2 linked regions of the Lonchura striata genome follow. The main gene of each other region encodes a partner of the protein of the gene in region 2 in a complex. Links are inferred from orthologs where the notes say so. Each region holds a gene or a part of one and is shown on either strand. Other genes may lie near its edges.

Region 1 (10,510 bases), on a different chromosome or scaffold from region 2:
GAGCTTGTAGAGCAAGTGGTGAAGAATTCATCTGGTGTCATGTGCTATTGCACATAATGTCCGAAAAGCATTTCAGACACATAATGTCTGAAAAAGGAGTTAAATTCTGTGTTAGCAGCATAGCTTCTGTGAGACAGCACAGAGGTGCTTGTCAGGATCACTTTATTTAGCTTCTGATAGATCAGGATAGTCCAAAATTCCACCAGTCTTATAGCCCAGTAATTTTACCTAGGAGTCCATAATTTCCTTAGAAGCAGCCACTGGCTCTGCTTTGGCATAATTTTGTGTTGAGGATTTGACATGATTGAGATTGGTGCAAGTGATCTGTTGCTTTGTCATAGCCAAGTTATAATTTGTCTTCATGCAGACATCTCTGGAGCAACATGATCTTAACCTTACCCTAAAAATGGCTTTTATGATGCCAAGAGGAAAAAAACTCCTGTTACTTTCATTTGTAGGGTCACTGGGTTTTTCCATCTCTGATGGAAAAAAATTCTTCTCTAATGAGAAGTAGGTTTTTTATGAGTTGCCTGAAGATATTTTTTCATTCATTGATGGAAAAAGCATATTACAATGACAAAGCTTTGGAGAGCAATCATCAAAGGGCAAAGAAGTGGTACAGAAGATCCTGAAAAGCATGGAGAGCTTAAGTTCGTAGCATAGAAGAGGTGCAGTGTTCTGTTTGTACATGGTGTGCCTTGCCCAAAGTGGTTCCATTTGGTTTGTAGTAAAGCCAGAGAGAGGAAGACTAGATGAATGTCAGGATCTCTGGTGGGAGGTTTGGCCTGGTGAGAAGGGGGAGTAGACCTGGAACCCAAGTTGTGCTCCTTCAAGAGCAGTGGACATTGGAAAGTTAGAGAAGAAATGGTGCATTAATAGAGAGGCTATTTGGGTTCTGGGGTGCAGTGAAACATCTGGCACCTGCAGGACAGAGCTCAAGGTTTACTGAGCTTGAAGCTTCCTCTGGACCATCTGGTTTAAGAGCTGCTGATGGACCCATCCTTCAGGAATTAACATAAGCCATTTGCATCTTAGCCAAATCCTCTGAAATCTATGGGCAGTTGGCTTCATCGTGTTATCTATTTGTTAAAAAAGGAAACAAAACTGTAAATCCTTCTTCATCCTCATGTTCTATATTTGCTTCCTGACTTTTGTAAGGACTCATCTCTCCTCCTGCTGTTTCCTGTTCTGCAGCTGTGTTTGGCACATTCTGTAATTGTAACAATCCTATCAAAGAGGGTTAAAAACACAGAATCAATTTGTAACTTTTATTTTACAAGTGGTGCCCTCCAGGCCACTGGTGCTCCTTACATTTGCTTGGGCTGTGACCGAAAAGTGACATTGTGAAAGTTTTCATCCACATTAAAACGAAAATGTGCACAGTCTGCCAATTGGGGCATAGTGCAAGCTAACAAAAGGTTTCATGCAGATAAATTTTGATCAGTTACTCTCCCCTGTACTTTTATAATCCTCCTAGGCCATCTTTTACAGCATCTTTTACTGTAACCTTGGATTTTTAATTTTTTTTTTTAACTCTTGTTGGCTTGGTTTGAATTAGATGGCATTCACCTTCAAGATTAATTCAGCTTCAGGATAATCTATTTCATTTCTAAGTTTTAGAACAGCTGTTCTCAGCACATGGCCATCACTTCATCACAACTATCTGTGATTCCTGGAGCCTTGGATCAGTGCTAAGACAAAGCAATTATTCCACTCTGCAGGCTAAAACCAACCCAAATACAAATGGAAGTTCCACCAAAGTCTTTTATTGTAGCCCTTACACAGCCAAGCTGCCCTCCAGAGCGGTGGACTGAGAATCCTGTTCATTTCACAAGATCCTTCACGTATTTCCAGCCTTCCACTGTGTATTCACAGGCCCTGGTGGGAGCTACAGACAAGGCAGACATGACTCTGTGCACCCCTGCAAGCAAAGCAGAGAAGAATTACCCCAAGATCATCATTCAAGCCAAATTTCCCGATTTCCAACACCACCACTGTAAATCTCTTTAAACCCTGAGCATTTGTGACACAGAAATTCCAACTTCAGGGTCTGTACATGAGCTAAGACAATTACAGGACTGAGCTCAGTTCTTTGTTTAAGTCCTGTTTTATTTCTGGCCTTGCCACAGTTACAGTTCTGGACATGTCACAGTCATTTGTGGATTGTGTTTCCCCACAATTACATAAAGATTCTTTGCTACACCATAAAACCTGTGTATTACTAGGTATTTATAACAGGCTTTGGCATTCAAGCAAAAATGCCTAAAATTATAATAGCAATGGGAATGCTCATCCTTTCTGAAAAGCCAAAGACTGAGCTCAGAATCAGGTAGTGAGCAGTTATTTTACCTTTATTCCAGTAAGCAGAGAGGGAAAAGTCAATTTTTGGAGTGGGTGGGAGCTAGGAAAAAGAGAGAGAAAATATCAGCACTTGAGGGGTTTCACTTGGAATTCACATCACCTTGGCAAAACCTCTTGACCTCAGATCTCAAAAATACTTGTGTGCCTACTCTCCATAAGCCTCAAAAGTGACCAGACATGATGCTTAAAGTCTGGGCTTTGCTCTTTCCTGCAATATAAAGTAGGTGCAAAAGATAGAACATGTTATTTAGGTGCTCCTGAAAAATCATCTACTTGGGTGTCTCTGTTAGTTTATAATTGTTTGTAATATGAAGAATCTTTTCAAACTTTAAGCAAAGGTTTCTTATTTTCTGAGGATTTTAAAAACTAAGAGCTACTCATAGAGGAGGGGCCTCTTCAAGCAATTTAAATTCAACTTGAATTGTTAGCAATGTGAAAAAATGGGAGGATAATATTTTCATTGTTTTTCTTAAAAACAAGTAGGATCCTTCAGAAGAAAACTACATAGTGAAATACCTCCCAGAGCATGTTTGCAATTCCCCCCCTTGACCCTGCATAGGCTGCTTACCCCTCTCCTTTGAAATAACATCTGTGAGCAATGTCTCTGCCCCAAATTTAGCATTTTATTTGCCTTCCATTTCAATCCTCTTCAAAATATTTGCAATGTGAAATCCAGTTTCAGCAGTAAAACTCCTACCAGGCTCACCAGAATCAGAATATCACCCCTATATTTTCTCTTCCTGATTCAGAGATGTTTGTGTTGCAGGGATCACCCGAGCAGCCCTTACCTCCCAGCCCAGGTAATCTGTCCACTCTTGGATAGTTGGAGGCAGCGTTTCTTGAGCTTTTCTGAGTGCTTCAGCACCTTCTATGCCACTGCCCAGCAGCCCCTGGTCATGTGCTACGTACACAGCAGCTCCAGCCAGGCCTCCTTTGATCAGAAACCTGAAAGAATTGGAAGCAGAACAGTTCAGTTCATGTTCTGACCATCAGTGCATCTCTTTCAGTGGTTGTGACTGCCAAAGAGGGTATCAGGAAAGAAATCTCATGTCTTACTGGAGGTAAAAATCAGCAGAAAAATACCTACCTATGTTCCTTGCCTTCCCAGGACAACTACTGCCTGTCAGCCCCTTGAAACTACTTCTAATTCACATTTTATCAGTGTTGGTTTTCAATATAAAAATAAGAAAGTGTCAAGTTCCTCAAGAACATGTGCCACTTTTTAAAGCCTGAGAATCACTGGCATATTCCTCTGCTGAAAGCAATTAAAGAATTCTGCAGTGGGCGAGCCATCCATGTTAATAATGTGGTTCTTCTTGATAAATCTGATATTTATCTAATAAATCTGACAGATACCAAGATCTTATTATGCTCAGTGAACACCTGGCCATGGTGTTTGCATTGCCAAGGCTTTTAAAGTTTCCTGCATGATGTGCAGTTACCAGTTTTACTGCTGTGATGGCAACCTACAAAAGGGAAGACGGGAAGAGAGTATTTGGCATTTATTGGCATTTCCATTCTAAATAAGAGATCGGAGGTAAGTGACTTTCTCAGATACACAGAGGAATGTTTTCCCTTTAAAAAAAACAGCCAAAGTTATTGTACAACCCAAAACTTGGCAGACAGCGGTACTGCAGTAGTAGGACAGATACAATAGAGCTGACAAGAGCGAACCAATTTTTAAAGTCGTGTATTCACACGCATTTCGGGGAAAAGCGATCTTTCTGCTAAAAGGCACTGTTGGCTCCCAAGGATACCCTTCCGCACTTCCTGTGGGTGTACGAGCAGCTCCGAGCCCCGCGCTACTCCCGGGTTTTGTTACGCGTCCATGTCCGCCCACAGGGAGCTGCAGGGCCCTCCCGGCGTGTACGAACACACACGGGGAGCTGCGGGGGCAGGCGAGGCCAAGGGCGTGCAGCGAAGCCAGCAGAGCCACGGACAGGGCCGGCCGCGGGCCTGGGGACGGGCCGGGGACAGCGGTGAGCACTGAGGCGCGGGGAGCACGGGGGGAACGCCGTGCGGAGGGTGCGGGGGGGCCGAGCCGAGCCGGGCCGGGCCGGGCCGGGCCGGGAGGGTGGGCAGGGCCCGCGGGACTCACTTGACAACGGGCAGCAGGCGGGCGGCCATGGCGGCGGCGGCACCGGGACCGTCACGTGCGCGCGCGGCCCCGCCCGCGCCGCCGGCGTCAGGGGCGTGAGGGGACGGGCAGGGCTGAGGGCGTGAGGGGAGTGAGGGGAGTGAGGGGACGGGCAGGGCTGAGGGCGTGAGGGGACGGGCAGGGCTGAGGTTGTGAGGGGCGTGAGGGGACGGGCAGGGCTGAGGGGCGTGAGGGGAGTGAGGGGACGGGCAGGGCTGAGGGCGTGAGGGGACGGGCAGGGCTGAGGGGCGTGAGGGGAGTGAGGGGCGTGAGGGGACGGGCAGGGCGTGAGGGCGTGAGGGGACGGGCAGGGCTGAGGTTGTGAGGGGCGTGAGGGGACGGGCAGGGCTGAGGGGCGGGAGGGGAGTGAGGGGCGTGAGGGGACGGGCAGGGCTGAGGGCGAGAGGGGAGTGAGGGGACGGCAGGGCTGAGGGCGAGAGGGGAGTGGCAGGACTAAGGGCGTGAGGGGCGTGAGGGGACGGGCAGGACTTGAGGGGTGTGAGGGGCGTGAGGGGCGTGTGGGGTGTGAGGGGCCGGGCAGGGCTGAGGGCGTGAGGGGACGGGCAAGACTTGAGGGGTGTGAGGGGCCGGGCAGGGCTGAGGGGCGTGAGGGGACGGGCAGGGCTGAGGGCGGGAGGGGACGGGCAGGGCTGAGGGGCGTGAGGGGAGTGAGGGGACGGGCAGGGCTGAGGGCGAGAGGGGAGTGAGGGGACGGGCAGGGCTGAGGGGCGTGAGGGGAGTGAGGGGACGGGCAGGGCTGAGGGGCGTGTGGGGTGTGAGGGGCCGGGCAGGGCTGAGGGCGTGAGGGGACGGGCAAGACTTGAGGGGTGTGAGGGGGCCGGGCAGGGCAGAGGGTGTGAGGGGCCGGGCGCGGCTCCTGCGCCTTTGTGGCGCTGTCCCCGCCGCCCGTCTTGTCGCGCTGTGTCGCAGCGCGGTGGCGGAGCAGCTCAGCCCGCTGCTCCTCTTAGCCAGACAAGGCTCCGTCCTGTGGGCGCTGCCGCCGCCTCCCTCCCGAGATCCGGCTGCTTTGGGGTCACTGCTGCCAGATGTCATCAGTCTTTAATGAATTAAGAGTTCTCTAAGATTAGCCACTAAGATCGGGGGGGTTTCTCTCCTGTGGTCTGGCGGTGTGTGGAGGCTGGCTCTGAATGCAGAGCGCTGCGGGAATTGCCGGTGAAAGATCCTTCCCGGGGGAGAGACCCTTCAGGCGGGCTTTGGTTCTACAAAACCCTTTACGTGCCTCTCCCAGGGCGGCTCCAGGAATCAGAGGAAGGAGAACACAGTATTATTTTGGCTGAAGTGCTCAGCTTCAAGACTTCACTTTGTTCCTCACAGCTTGGAGGGATATGAAGCCAATTGGAAAAGTGCTTTGTGCTACAGGGGCTGTAGCTAGGCTCATAGCTTTCTTCTGGAAAGATGACTTCAACCCAGGAAGGCTCACCAAGCTGAAATAAAAGTTACACAAGGGAAGAGGTTTAATTTCCAAAATTTGACTGATGGTCTCATTCCTACCCGTAGTCTTACTAAAGTTGGTTGCCCCAAAGCAATGTTTCATTCCCAGAAACAAAGAGAAACTTGAAACAAAGAGATACTTGAAACAAAGAGGAAGACAAAATGGTCTAAGAGCAAGGATCCTGTTGTCTCTGTGGGGGGAAAATGACACTTTGCTACTGCCTTGCTCTTTTTATGTTTTGGTTGTAAATTCCTTGGTGTCAAGAACCATTTCTGTAGGTGTGCAGTGCCTGGCACAAGAGGGCTGATGTGTCTCCAGACTGATGAGTAAATGATATGCAGAGAGCACATAGCCTGGTTTATGTTGTACAGCTTCTCAGAAGGTGAAAAACAACTTGGTTCTTGAAAGATTTTGTTCTAGCAACCCAGGCTAGGCCCTGTGACACAGCTAGCTGGCATCATCATGTCATTGCATCACCAGTCCTGCCTCTTCTAGTTTTGGAGAAGCACCAGGAATTTTGAGCAATTAGGTGGGTGCATCTTTCTTCTTTAAAGCTCTGCTAGTATTTAAGGCAGCTCGTCTGCTCTTTCTTCACTTACTTCTGTATCTTTTATTCTCTTTCCCATAAAAAAGAGAGCCTGTCTGGTGCCTGTGTTCTCATAACTGGAGCCAGTGCTGGGATTGGAGAGCAGATAGCATATCATTATGCCAGATTTGGGGCTGAAATTGTGTTGACTGACATAAGGGAAGCTGTGCTGCAGAAGGTAAGAACCTCATCCTTGTATGGGGGAAGACATGAGAGATTCGGGCTTTTACTAAGCCAACAAAAAAATTCGTTGTCAGCATGATAGATTTTCCTTCAGAACTGTTAAGCATAAACCCAGAAGAGAAGTTGGCCTGTACAAGAAGATGCAAATACAGTGCCTGAGCTTTTAACTGCCTGAACATTTATTTATATGAGGGGATGGTGTGAAGCTGCATCAGGGAAAGTTCAGGCTGGACATTAGGAAAATGTTCTCCACTATGAGGGTGATCACTCCCTGTTCCCCAGGGAGCAGTGGTCATGGCACCAAGCCTGTCAGAGTTCAAGGAATATCTGAGCCACATCCGTAATGATAAAGTTTGGTTTGAGGGAATCCTGTGAGGAGCAGGAATTTGGATTTGATGATCCTTATGGGTCCTTTTCGATTTGAGATACTCCATGAACTACAATTCTTGTGCAATATTTTCCAGATTTTCAGAGTCCAAATTGTTCTATTTGTAGCTGTTTTGTTAAAAACTCAAGACTTTTTATAGGTTAAATGCTTTTTGACTAACTCCAACAGATGAGATTCCATCTTTATGAAATGGAAAATATTTAGAAAGGTTAACTCTTTAATTGTGGAGATGTGTGACTTCCAAGGAAGGATCTTCACTGTGAAATGGTGCAAAAGGTGACTTGGGGACAGTGAGTGTAATAATAGTTCCTAATGACTGGAAGGCATTATTTCAGCAAATAGCTAAAATAATGCCAGGCACATTCACACACTCAACATAGCAAAGGAATTATGAAACATGAATTCTTTTCCAGTTATTCTGGAAAAAAGAGAAGAACTTAATGTAAAGCATAACTCTTGTTCCAGAAGATTTCTCCTGAAGAAGATTGGGGTTTTTTTCAGTGAATCTTGATCCTGTCCCAAAGTAGATCGTTTAAGCAGACAGTTAAATAGAGGCAACTCCTTGCAGGATGCAGATTCAAAGTCTGGATGCAGAATGAGCTCTCCATGCCCCAAACAGCAGTAAATTTTAAATTAAAGTGTGTCTCTGTCCAGAACTAACTCTCACTGACTGTAGTATGTGCTTTATGGTGCCCTTTTCCCCTAATCTTTTTCCAAATATTTTAATCTTTGGGATGTGTTCTTTTTCAAGGTAGTGGAGAAATGCCTGACACTTGGAGCAAAGAAAATATTTTATATCGCTGCAGATATGTCTTTCCCTTCAGAGCCTGAAAAGATGGTTCAGTTTGCTGTCCAAAAGCTGGGTAAGCATCCTGAGCATCTCTTTGGCTTTCAGGTGTAAGCACAATTCTCATTCTAGGAGCTTCCTGCTTCAGTTCCTTCAACTGAGAAAGGTGTTAAGGTTGTAGATGTACCACCAGAACTAAGTTCTGAGCCTGAATCATGCTGAAACATCATTTCAGGGAGTTATTGTTAAAATCAGTTTTCCTTTCAGTTCTATTCCTGAGGAGCAGTCAAAGCTGCTCCCAGTTGGGCATATTTAATCTGTCTTCATGGTAAAGCACTTCCAGCCTTCTGAGGGAGTGGTTGAGCCCTCCTGGCATTTCTGAGCTCCCCGATTGATGGTCAGGGGATGGGCCCCTTGTGTGACTGTGTGACTGCTTTTTCTGCTGTCCAAGGGGGCCTGGACTACCTCGTGTTGAACCACGCCAGCACCAACTGCTTCCAGGAGTGGGCTGGAGATGTGGAATACACCTGCTGGCTCATGCCGGTGAGGCTGCCCAGCTCACCTGGAACTGGGTGAGCCTGGCTTTTCCTGCAGCAGCTTTGGGAAGCTCCAAGGCAAATCCACATCTGTGGCAGTGGTTGAGACAAGCAGTTTGGAGGCTTTGTTGCTAGAGAGGTGTTTTGCTCAGATGTTGTACATTTGTGAAGAGGAATGTTCGGGAAGAACTTCAGACTTCTTCCTTCTGTCCTTCTTACCTCCCTTTAGCCGAGTTTGGGATTGATGGGTAGTTCCAGGCAGTTGTGTTTAGTTCAGGAAGGTCTCTAAGTCAGCAGCCAGCATTTCCTACTAGTCTATGGCATGTACACAATTGCAGAACACAAAGTTGTTTGAAATGGTGTCTGCCATTTGAGTCTCTGTTAACAGATTTAGAGTTTTCCTGTAGAATCACTCTGGTGCCAGGTTTTGGGGCCATGGAAATGAAGAGCTGTTTTCTTGATTCAGTCTTCTTCATTCAGGTGGGTCATACTAGTTTCTATTTCATTTTGGAAGGAGTCTTTTTGCTAGAGTGTGGGAACATAGGAACATAGGTAAGAAATTCTTGAGAGCAGTCAAGCTCTGAAGAGATGCTGAATTTTGTGCCTCATTGTAGTCTGAGCTCAGTCAAGAGAAGCTTACAAGGAAACTTACAAGAAACGTAGCAAACTGAAAGTGGTGTCTTTGGTAGGGATTGCAGAGCAAAGAATAGCATAAAGAAAAAGCAGGGACAGCTAATTTTATCTTGTCAGGAAATCTGCATGTTAAAGCCCAGGCATAACCTTTGCTCTGGATCTTCTTCTGGAATCTGAAAGACTCATGGATGCAATGCTTGTCCCCATCTATAGAGATGATTTTTCTCATTTGATGTTTGAGAAGGCAATTCCAAACCATGCTCATTTCCATTTCTGATCACTCTACTGACTTGCTTGGCTCACGCTTCCAAACCCTCTTGCTTCTTTATAATAAATGTCTACATTTATTATTCCAGGTGAATTTTTTTAGTTACGTGGCTCTTGCAACAGCAGCTCTTCCCACCCTGGAGAAGAACAGAGGTGCTCTGGTGGTTGTTTCTTCCCTCACAGGTTGGTGATTTTGCCTGGAGTAAGTAGAAAATATTACTTGGCCTTGTGGAAAAAATTATTCCCAGTACTGTTCATATTTCTCTATTGTTCAACTCCTAAATACATTTTCAAACTGTGCTTTTAATAGTATATAATAATATTATAATAAATAATAATATAGTAATAGTATTCTAATATACTTACATAAAGGGAGACTCACCTGAACAGAACATGAGCTGATACTGTATGACAAAGCCTGCATCTTCTCCCAGATTCCCTCACCATGGATCCTCCTTACACCCAGTTTCCTGGGGTTTTCCATTCTTTCTTTTCCCTTTCCAGGGAAAATGCCCACTCCATTCACCACTTACTCTGCCACCAAGTTTGCACTGGATGGATTTTTCAGTTCACTGTGCCATGAGCTCATCATGCAGAAGAAAGATGTGTCTGTCACACTGTGCATCCTGGGCCTGATTGATACTGAGTCAGCATTGGAGTGCACCAGGTATGTGTTTCTCCGCAGGAATGCATCTCTTCTAGAAAACATGCCAAAGTATGCACAGCAGCTCTCTCCAAGAGGGTGTGTGCATCTGCCTGGGGAGGGTGAACCTGCCTGGGCACACCACAGGGGTTGTTCATTATGGAACGGGAGCAGGCAGAGCCCTGTGGGGTCAGCGTGCCCAGCTCGAACCCCAGCAGGGGCTGCCTGGCTTGGAGCGACCCTGTGCCCGTTGCCTTGCAGGGGCAAAGTGCAGCTCAGAGCCTCCCCGCTCCTCGCCATCGTCCGGGGCGGGGCCACCCGGGCGCACGAGATTTTCTACCCGCGGTGGCTGCAGCAGCTCCGCTGCCTCTGGGCTCTGTTCCCCAGCAGCGGGAACAGCGTGCTACGGACTTTCTATAACTGCAGCAGTCCCTGAGGGGTGCCCGGTCTCATCCTACAGCCCTTCTAATCACATTCCTGCCGTCCCACTAAGCACCCCACTCAACCACTGGTGTCAAGCAGGAGCAGGGCAGCAG
Region 2 (10,812 bases):
GGAACCAGACATACAATTTACCTGTTTCATATTCCCATTTTCTGTAAAAATGGATTGATCCCTCAGGCTTTTCAGTTCATGAAATTGCCACTCTTGATGTTCAGTGAAGTTGCTCCTATTTGTAAAACCCAGTTTCTGGGCCTGTGTAATATTCTGCATTGTTACATGCAGAGAAGAGCGAGAACCTATTTGATCACACTTGAGCAATGTGACATTTTTCTCATCTATACAAGAGCCAAAGCAAGCTAAAGTGTTGTTTTTTGGTGTGCCAGCACCATATTGTACTAATTCACGAGTCTGAGGAGATAGTTTCAAATGCTATATTCTATAGAAGCAGTTAAAATTTGGCTCTGTCAGGCTGTGCCCCACTGCCCTGTGCCCCCTTGGTTCCTGCACCATGAGCTGTAATCATGCCAGCCATGGCCCTTGTCCAGAGGGAGTGGGGGGTAGGCATCAATGGTGTCACATGAGAAGCAGTGGGGGATAGCAGTGTGTTAAACAGATCAGGGATCATTAGGGGACACCTCTAAATGACTGCTTTGGTCAGTGATTGTGAGAGACCTATCCTAGAGTTTCCTAAATGCACTTCAGGACTAAGCTTGTGTAAGGTTGCTGTTGCTCCTCTTGGCACATGCTCCTAGAAAGAAGCAATAGTGGGAGGTACCAGATATGGGGTTTAATTAAAATGAGGCAAAGGAATGCAAAGGTGCAAACCCAGCCTGAACAAATGCCATGGTACCACAGAGCAAGGAATGGCAGAAGGACTTCCTGACCAATGATTTCTGCACAAAAATGAGATTTTGTTCCAAAAAGGGTATTTTGCTTCCAGAAGGAATGTGTACCTTTAACTGAAAATTATTTGGTAGACCTAGAAATTAGTTTAGGTAAATAATGTACTACATTTAATATGCATGCATATTTATGAAGATATGAAAATCAATACATTTACAGGCAAATGAGGTAAAGCTATTCACATCACCTTACTAAGAAATTAGGGATTCCTGTGAAAATATTTTTTTAAGGTAAAAAAAATTCATGTACATAATATATACAGACTGGCAATAGATGCAGGACCTTTCATCTGGCTTGAGCTGATTTCCAGAATGTATCCTGTTCAACTGAAATCTGAGGTGTATTTTAATTTTGAAAGGAGTTGGGTTTTGTTCTGATGAGTATTTACGGGCATCAAAAAGCTGTTTGTGTTCCTAGTGCTACTGGTAGCCTGTTACCTGGGCTTTACTAGACAATCCACACATTTCTGGTGGTGGTATCAACAACCTGTTGATAGAATGACAGAAGAATTACTCACTGTGGCTGGAAGGAGTAGCTGAAAAATGTGGAACCAGAGCTACTGGTGGCTGCAGCAAGAAGCCAAGGATTTGAATTAGGGAAGGGACATTAGGGTTTTTAACCATGGTATATCAAAAGTTAAATAGATGCAGTTGAATTATACTGAGGTTTTTGCATTATGTATGTCTCTCTTCTACCTGCCCCTTGTCTTATTTTATAGAATCTTTATTTGGAAAGCACAGAGTGTATTCTGAATGCTGTCAAAATGTGAGAAAGCTGGTGAGACAACAGGTGCTGAAGTTCGTCCTGGTTTACCTCAGATGTGAATGCAGTAAAGACTTTGCTGCAATTAAAGGTAGGTCAGTGAGAACACAAATAGCTCTGCAATGGCATCTGTTCTCAACACCCAATTTACTTTCTGAATGTGTGACTTTGCTTCCAATAAAGGGCCTTTGACAAAGGTCGAAAAACGACCAACCTTAGCTATTAAAAGAAAAAGCACAGGGTAAGTTTCACTCTAAATAAGATGGTATTAAATAAAAAACCTGTTCAATTTCTGCTTGTTTTTGTTTTTTGTTTAGGAAGTAAATAAAGTAGAAAGGATGAAGGGGTATTCTTATGGACATGCAAACTACTCCCCTTTACAAAGGTTTTGTGAAAAGTGTCATCATGCACACAATAAAAGGCAGTTCAACTAGCTGCCTAACAAATATGTGCTAAAAGTGACAGGAACCTGAGAAATGGATCAGTGCTTTTCAGACCCGCCCAGCAAAGCTGTGTGCCCCCTCCCAGCACTGGGTGAAGCTGTTAGCAACTGAAGGTTGCATTTACTGGAGCCCTTGTTTTTGTGTATTCCCAATTAACTACATGTTTTCAAAGAACTTGAAGAGAGATCTGCCAAACAGCATTATTTCCACTTACAACACAAACAAAAAGCTCTAAGAGGCAGAAGAGCGGTTTATTTTATAAGGACATCAAAACCCAATTCTGAACAGGCTGGCAAAACTGTAGTGACAAGTCATGGTACTTTTAAAAATCACTTGTTTTAATGAGAAAAGGTGCATGGAAGAACATGGGGGGGGGAGGGTGCTGAGGTTGTTTGTTTTAATACACAGAAGAATTATGAAGGAGAACATCAAACCAGCCTTCCAGAATTCTAATGTTTTCTAGTAATCAGTGTGAGTAGGTATTTGATGGACAGATGTTACACATTCATATTTTAAACATTGGAAAGCAACAAATCAATTTTTCTCTACAATTATACATGTATGGCAAAGAACTGAAATTATATTAGTAGTAAAGGAATGATTTTATTTTTCTGACCAAAAAAATAAACTGTAAACAAGCAATCTAATACAACATTATGAAAGTTCAGACCATAATAACTAAGGCATTGGATTAGAGATCTAATTTCTTAAATTGTATTTCTGCCTGTGATGACATAGTTTATGAAGTGTGGCAACATTTTCAAGCTTCTCTAAGCTGCAGTTTTCTGAAGGAAATGTGTCTTTCACAAGTGTTTACAAAAGCCAATTTTCTAAAAATACTGGCATGCAAAATCAAACTGAAATTTGCTAGAGGTCCTTACATTAGAAACAGCCAGGAGTCAATCATGCCAAACCTCTTTATTCTGTGGCCTCAGCAGCAGAAACTTCCATTCCTTTTTAAGCCTGTCTGACAGTGTTCTGGACCGTGCATAATCCATTATGCCATATATTATCCTTGTCCCAGGGAAATTTGGCAGGGACAACTTCTCCAGTATAAGAGAGGACTACACCTACATGAAAGCAAAGCTATTTTTATTGTTCTCTACAAAGGTTTTCCCATTTATTTTATTCTGTCTACCAATAGTTTTAAAGATTAATATCCACATTACCGAAAAAAGTGCACTGAAGATACCTGAGCTAATAAAATTATTTGAATTAATTTTTTTTAAAACAACCATCTATTCTTCAGACACTTATATCTGTTTTACATAATTGTATTAATAATTTCTATACAGCCACTGCATATAAATTGACAACAAAAATATGTATTTGTAACATTTACACATTTTATGTCCAGAAAGAATTGGAATGTTCTTTACTGTTCATGTACCAAACTTAAAAAGAAATATTCTTATGTCTGCCTCCTGCAAAAATTGAGAAAAATTGAGGAACAGTTGATCCTACCCATGGCATGGGAGTTAGCTTTGGTTGAAAACTAACCAGAGCAGGTGCCACTATTCACCTTGATGTCATCACTCCTCTTGTGGCCTCACTTGTAATTTTGAGCTTTGAACATTTTCTTTCTCAAACTCTTTGAGAATTACTATTAAAATGCATCAAAAAATGCAACTGCTTTGCAAACTACACCATCACTCCACATCCTGACAAAACCTCCACAAAATGCTACCAATCAGTCTTCTATAAACATTCGCCTCGCTCTGGCTGCTTATATTCTGTAAACGATTGTACAAAGCACGGTGCAATGGAGAAAAAGGACAATTGGTGTTCCTCACTCATTGGTCACTTGGGTGCATTTTAGGTTTAACTTTTCTGTGCTAAAATATTTATAATGAAATCAAATAAAATACCAGTATTGTCTGTGGGTACTGGAGCTCATCTTGTACCATTTGTTCATGGTATTTCTGCTGTCCTGTTAATTTGCTGTTAAGGAGCATTGCTCAGTTCTGCAATGTAGTGGTTAAACTGCTTATGTTAGGTCTATAAAGAATCTGCAGTAAAGAAATGTAGGAATTTTAAGAGAGAACAACAATTACCATCACAAAGAAGATCGTGCAAGAGTGCATACCTTGTACTGTTCCTGATGAAGTGTTTGCTACCTATTCTTCAGGTGATTCACCTTTTGCATTAAAATTCTAACATTTTCCAAGACTAACATGGTGCTATTCATAGTCTAAAATCAGTGTTAGCTTTTTTCAAGAAACTGTGTTTGTTGAACATCTCCAGGGATGCTGACTCTACCACCTCTCTGGGCAGCCTGTTCCAAGTCCATTTTCTCATATTCATCTCCCACTGAGTTACAAGTCAGTCACTGTGGGTTGTAAACAACAGCCTCTCTTGCTGCAGATGTGAGCAGAAAAAACTTGCACCTGTCCAACTCACCTAAGTGAGCTGGGAGATGCCACAGGGGATGCAGAGACCAGAAATGTAAAAATACTGAGAAAAGGGTGCTTGATTTTTTTGTTTGTTTTTAATATCGTGAGATAGAAAGGCACAGAACCCTACCCATGCACTAGCCCCATTGTGCTGGTTTTGGCTGGGGTAGAGTTAATTCTCTTCACAGTGGAGGGTATGGGGCTGTGTATTGGATGAGTGCTGAACCCAGGGTTGATCATACAGAGATGTTTTTGTTATTGCTGAGCAGGGCTTACACAGAGCCAAGGCCTTTTCTGATTTTTGTACAGCCATGCTGGCGAGGGGCTGGGAGTGCATGGGAGTAGACGCAGCTGGGATAGGTGATCCCAGCTGATGAAAGGGATATTCTGTCTCCAACACATGAGTAACAAAAACATCTCTGTATGATCAACCCTATGTTCAGCACTCATCCAATACACAGCCCCTTACCAGCCACTGTGAAGAGAATTAACTCTACCCCAAACTAAATCATGCTCACCGATGTGAATTATTCTGGCAGTGAGCCAGGAGGACACTGATGTGGCAAGTGTATTTCTCTCCCTCTCAGGATTTTTCATAGAGGTGCACAGAGAGCAGTTAGAGAGAAACCAATTTCTGCTCTTTGTTTTCCTGTGTGGAATGTGTTTGGAGAATTGTTTACCTGAAGTGAGTGCTTGATTGGATTCTGGCGAGGATTGTTTGAGCCTGATGTCCGATCAATCCACCTGTGTCTGCACTCTAAAGAGAGGGTTAGGAGTTGTGAGAATTAAGAGAAGGTAGTATATAGTTTTAGTATCTTCCTTTATCTAGTATGTTAACGTATTTTAGCATAGTTATAATAAAGAAATCATTCAGCCTTCTGAATTGAGTCAGACATCGTCACTTCTTCCGATTGGGTTGGCCGGCATTTGCAATGCAGGGGAGCCGGTGAAGGGCGTGGGGAGTCCTGCGGGGAGCGGCTGAGGGAGCGGTGTGTGTCCGGCCGGCTGAGGGGGCCCCGGCACTGCCCGCTCCAGCGCGGCTCTGCGGCCGGCGGCAGGACGAGGACACAGACCTGAGCCGCGCCGGAGAGCCTTTAGTGGGACTCAGCAAGAATTTCTTCACAGAAAGGGTGAGCAGACATTGGAATGGACTGCTGGCGGAGTCACCGACCCTGGAGAGGTTTAAGGAAAGGCTGGACGTGGCGCTCAGTGCCATTAGCTTTTCTCAAGAAACTGCGTTTCTTGAAGACGTCCGGGGATGGTGACTCCACCAGCCTGGTGGTGCCGTGGTCTAGCTGACGTGGGTTTGGTAACAGGCTGGATTCGACGCTCTCAGAGGTCTTTTCCAACCTCATTGATTCCTGTGACTGATTCTGTGAACGGCCGAGCCTTCCTCACAAAGGTTGCAGGGCAGCACAGGGAGCCGTGCGGCGGGGCTGAGGATCAGCGTGCAAGCGCTTTGCTCCCACAGGAGCCGTGCGGCGGGGCTGAGGATCAGCGTGCAAGCGCTTTGCTCCCACAGGAGCTGGGCCGTGCAAGCGCTTGGCTCCCACAGGAGCCGTGCAGCCCAGCGTGTAAGCGCTTTGCTCCCACAGGAGCTGGGCCGTGTAAGCGCTTTGCCCCCACAGGAGCCGTGCAGCCCAGCGTGTAAGCGCTTTGCTCCCACAGGAGCTGGGCCGTGTAAGCGCTTTGCTCCCACAGGAGCTGGGCCGTGTAAGCGCTTTGCTCCCACAGGAGCCGTGCCGCGGGGCTGAGGATCACCGTGCAAGCGCTTTGCTCCCACAGGAGCTGGGCCGTGCAAGCGCTTTGCCCCCACAGGAGCCGTGCAGCCCAGCATGTAAGCGCTTTGCTCCCACAGGAGCTGGGCCGTGTAAGCGCTTGGCTCCCACAGGAGCCGTGCCGCGGGGCTGAGGATCAGCGTGCAAGCGCTTTGCTCCCACAGGAGCCCGCCAAGGCCGGAGCCCCTCCGCCGCCCGGGCGGCGGCGGCAGCGCGCGGGGCCGCCCCGTGACGTCACGCCGCGGTGACGCCGTCGCCCCGTCGCCGCGCGCCCGGCGCCGCCATGTTCAAGGTGAGGAGGGGTCCCCGGCCGGGCCCGCCGCCGGCCGCGCTCGGGGCTCCGCGCTCCGCCCGCGCCCTCTGCCTCTCTCCTCTCCGCCGCTCTCACTGCCGCTGTCCTCGCAGCTGCTTAGCCGCTCCTCTTAGCGCTTCGGAACCGCGTGCCCTCGCGTTGCACGGAGAGGGGCACACTCCCGATTTACAGCCGCTGCCGGGTGCCCCCCGCGCAGATTCGTCCCTTCCGTACGGGGCTGCCCGCACCGCGGGGCTCTGTCACCGCTCGGTTCGGGCCCGGGCAGCTGTCGCTTGAAAGCGTCGGTTCGATCTTGAAAAGTTTCCTTTTAGTGCCTGAAGGTTGCCAGCGAAACCTGCGGAAAGCCCCGTCCGGCTCTGGCTGTCTCAGAGATTTCTGCCTGTGGTTAGAGCAGCCCCAGATCCCATCAGGCTAAAAGCAACTCTGTGCCAGTCAGATCGTTGTTAGGCTGCTTGCTTAAAAAAAACACCAAACCACCAAAACCTGGTGATGCTCGCTTCTTGGTATTCATTTTCCTTGGTACCATTTTCTGTGTGAAATATTGATAATATATCTAGATACCAGTATACCGAGGATACTAAATAGTAATATATAACATCTCAACATGAGGAAGAACTTCTTTATGTTGAGGGTGGCAGAGCACTGGAACAGCTGCCCAGGTCGTGGAGTCTCTCTGGAGGCATCCAAAGCCCACCTACCAGCACATGTTCCTGTGTCACCTGCTCCAGGTGACCCTGCCTTGGCAGGGGGTTGCGCTAGATGATCTCCAGAGGTCCCTTCCAACCCTGACAATTCCGGAGTCTGTGATACTGATGTGCTGAGCCCTTGCTTGCTCTGCTCTTGTCATAAATTCCTTTTTCTTTATGTCCTTTAATGCTGGAATTCTGTGCACAGAATCATTGAGGATTCCATAATTGATGCTGAATTGTCATTGGAGGGTTGATATGTGAGCCTGTGCATTTAGGCACTATCTGTATTAGTGTATTAGTACTTTTACATAGCCAGTGAGGATTTATGTCCTTCAGGCCAACCTGATGTTATGCCTCTAAGAGCCAAAGGGAAGGTAGCTTTTTGTCCAGGATACTTTTGCTTCAGGGACAGGAATGTTCAAGAATTTGGATTTTGGTTTGATGTTTTTATGGTTTGGGCTGAGAAATAGGAGGAAGAATAGAAAAAGATGAGGAAAACTGTTTTCATACTTTAGGACCAGTATCAGCCTTCTCAAAAGTATGCTCAAGCTTTTCCTATCAAGTCCTAAAGATAAAATTGAATTCTTAGCTAGAGAGGAGTAAATGTATCTTTTTTGCTTAAAATAACTGCAGAGCATTGCCAATAGAAAAGAATGTCAGCTCTGCTTTTCTGATACTGAGTGGCTATAGGACTGGCAGGCTGAAGGCACAGCTCAATCAGTCCAAATGTTTTACTAAAGCAATTGTTTTGGTAATATATGGTTAGTATGGAAATCAAAAATGAGATCCTACAGGGCATTTTGGAAACAAGTACAGCAGCTGATCTTTCATACTCCCAAGTAGTTCTGTGTATGCAAATATGCAGTATTTCAGCAGTAGTTCTGCCTGTCCCATGAGGTAGCTGATGTAGGAGACCATTGAAGTATGATTTGAACAGCACATTTAAGAAGAGATTCAACTTGCACTTTCAGAGGTTAGTTTCATTTTGTTAAAAATTAAAAACAATGGAAAATGTCTGCACTTCAGTATCTTGATAATATAAACAGTTAACTTTTCAGTCTGAGTAGTCCTATGTCACTGATACTGTTTTGTGAAACCCAGGTGCTTCCAGTCTTGTGCTGTGCTATTTGTGTCTTTATATAAAAATCTCAAATATCTAAAACATTTGGTTTTACTGTTTATACTTGTGACACTTAGCACCATTTACACTGTTTGAAAACATATTACAAAGAGAAAATGCATTTAGATTTTTGCCTTTTCAGTGACATAACAGTTTTGCAGTGAAAAAATGAAAGATTGAGGAAATAAACTCTACGGCTATTAATGGTTAGTAGTGTTTGTTTTTGTCCTGGCTAACAGAAGTATGTGAAAAGTGTTTAAGGAAACACTATTAAAGATTATCCTTGTCTTTCCTTGGCTTTGAAACAGCTGATCCAGTCATTGTGGTGTTTCATTTATAGTGATTTAGTAATGAGTCCATAAATTCAGACAAGGAAAAACTTCAATTTTAAGCAAGTTTTTCCATACCTTTTGACCCACCAGATCCCTTACATCTTCCAAAAAACAATCATGTGACCTAGTTCTTGTGTGCTGTTTCTCTACACTTAAATGAACATTTTCAGGAAGTTTCATAACTGTGAAGTCTAATTTTTAGTTTGAGGAGTCTATTGGTTACATTTAATAAGCATTCCATCTGCAAAGCAGTGGAAGAAATTTAAGCTGCAAATGCTTGACTGCCTACAATAAGCTGATGTGGTGTGGATAATTTTAAAGCTATTTTCTAACAGTTCTGTGAGAGACAGAGCAGTTGTGCCGTGGCTGGGCCAGTCACCACCATCACAGTGTGAAGGAGGGATGGTTTGACCACGGCTTCAGTGTCACAAGCAGCTAGGTCAATGCAACAGACCCCGCTATTTGTTGAAAGGAAGAGGCCTTGCTGCCTTCTCCTTTCTCATCCCCTGTCCCCTGGACCATACAGTTCCTCTGGTGCTTGTCAGGCTGTTTCATGGAAGGGTTCAATTTGCTAAGCCCGCACAAAGCTCTCCGCTTCTCTTTCAGGATTAATCTTTTGCCAAATTGGCCAGGTGAATTGCCTCCCGGTGGAAGCATCCGGCCACCAAAGCTAGGGCAAGGTGAGCAGCAGGACTTCTGGGAGCCAGTGCTGGAGAGGAGCCAGACGCCTCCAGTTTGGTGTTAGATCCACTCGTGCTGTAACCTGATCCAGCAAAACACAGGCTGTTGTAACTCTGCACATTTCCATTAATAAAGATGTGCATTTGCTGGAAAATGCTCTCTGAGCATTCTTAATTTACTGTGCAGCTAAGATTTTTTTCTTCTGTTTAAGTTGAAGCAGACTTTCCCTTTAAGAAATTCAGTTTAGCATAGGTCCTGAATACTGGAAGAATTATATCCACCTTACTAGTGGTGGTTGCATGATTGGATTGAATTTATTCAAAAAAACAGTCAAGTAATTAATGTTTCTTACAAAAAGTAGGAGACATTCCTAAAATTCTTGGAAATAATTGATTTTGTTCTGGTATTTATAGCTGTAGGTCTACTTGTTTTCCTAAATCTATATGCAGATATTAAGTAGAAGTAAAACACTGAACTTCTTGGTACTACTATGGAAAAATGGAGGTATTATGAGCATTCACAAAGTTGTTTAAAATATGAGTATAATCTTTGATAAAGAATATAATACATTCTTTGAGAAAGAATATAATCTTTGAATGAGAAAGTTAATACAAAAATTACTTAAAACAAGATCTTTTTTATGAGATGAAAACTAATGAGATTAGCCTTTATTTCTACTGCCTCATTTAGCCTTAGGCATTTTCAAATACTATCTGAGTGATTTAGATGTTACTGTACTACATCAGTGCCTGAGAGCATTAGATTGTGTACTGCTGACCCTCCTTTCTCCTAATTTCCAAGCATCTATTGAGATCACTTTTTACCAAGTAGAGGGACATAAACATTGCCTGGGTGTGTTCAGACACGCTGCAGTTTTGTTTGCACATAATGATGTACCTGTCCTCCGGTAATGTTTCCAGGTAATTCGGCTGGGGGCCACCCCTGTCAGCCTGAGCTTGCTCTCTGTCCAGGTTTTTGCTGCTTCTTCAGAGAAGACTTCCAAAAAGGAGTTGCTGAAAATTGAGGAGGTAAGTGTGGTTATAGCCTTGGTGCTCTTCTAGTTAAAGAATTCTGAAAACATTGTGTTTTGATGTGTGAAAGCATTTAGGTACATCTTATCACCTTTTGTATTCATGCCTTTAAATTTGCTTCTCAATTTTCCTCAACAGAGACTTCTATACAGTTTTGCTTTTACCTGGGCATGGCATTTGATGTTCTTGATAGGGCCAAGCTTGCTTGTGTGTAAGATCTTTTTTCTACATTAAAGTCGTCTATTCTTCATTCAGAAGTTACATTTTCATGTTTGTAGATTTACTTACGGTTATATTTCAAATCCACAGGCATATTTTCTTTGCTTTTTATCCGGATAATACTACTTACTTTTTATTGTAAGTAGTGTTGGTAAATTCTAATATAAATTAATTTTATGTTCTCCACTAAAACAGTGAATCAGAATGTTGTACTTCTAAAAATATTCTTTTTTATGATCAAAATTCTTGTCAGGCAATA

Evidence for each region.
Region 1: APOO (region 2) and MICOS13 share a complex: the UniProt entries of both Homo sapiens proteins name them as parts of the mitochondrial contact site and cristae organizing system (MICOS) complex. The link is inferred for Lonchura striata from reciprocal best matches to the Homo sapiens genes APOO and MICOS13.

Annotation. Positions count from the first base shown.
Region 1 is NC_134630.1:4,052,159-4,062,668, forward strand, and holds MICOS13 (MICOS complex subunit MIC13), read right to left. Parts: upstream 4,554-10,510; 5' UTR 4,489-4,553; coding exon 4,460-4,488; intron 3,307-4,459; coding exon 3,150-3,306; intron 2,402-3,149; coding exon 2,350-2,401; intron 1,922-2,349; coding exon 1,824-1,921; 3' UTR 1,255-1,823; downstream 1-1,254. Other genes in the region: HSD11B1L (hydroxysteroid 11-beta-dehydrogenase 1-like protein), read left to right, coding at 5,845-5,933, 6,589-6,715, 7,860-7,971, 8,347-8,438, 9,421-9,514, 9,836-9,998, 10,236-10,410. UniProt on the Homo sapiens protein: Component of the MICOS complex, a large protein complex of the mitochondrial inner membrane that plays crucial roles in the maintenance of crista junctions, inner membrane architecture, and formation of contact sites to the outer membrane.
Region 2 is NC_134604.1:103,814,381-103,825,192, reverse strand, and holds the start of APOO (MICOS complex subunit MIC26), read left to right. Parts: upstream 1-6,411; 5' UTR 6,412-6,451; coding exon 6,452-6,460; intron 6,461-10,223; coding exon 10,224-10,331; intron 10,332-10,812. UniProt on the Homo sapiens protein: Component of the MICOS complex, a large protein complex of the mitochondrial inner membrane that plays crucial roles in the maintenance of crista junctions, inner membrane architecture, and formation of contact sites to the outer membrane.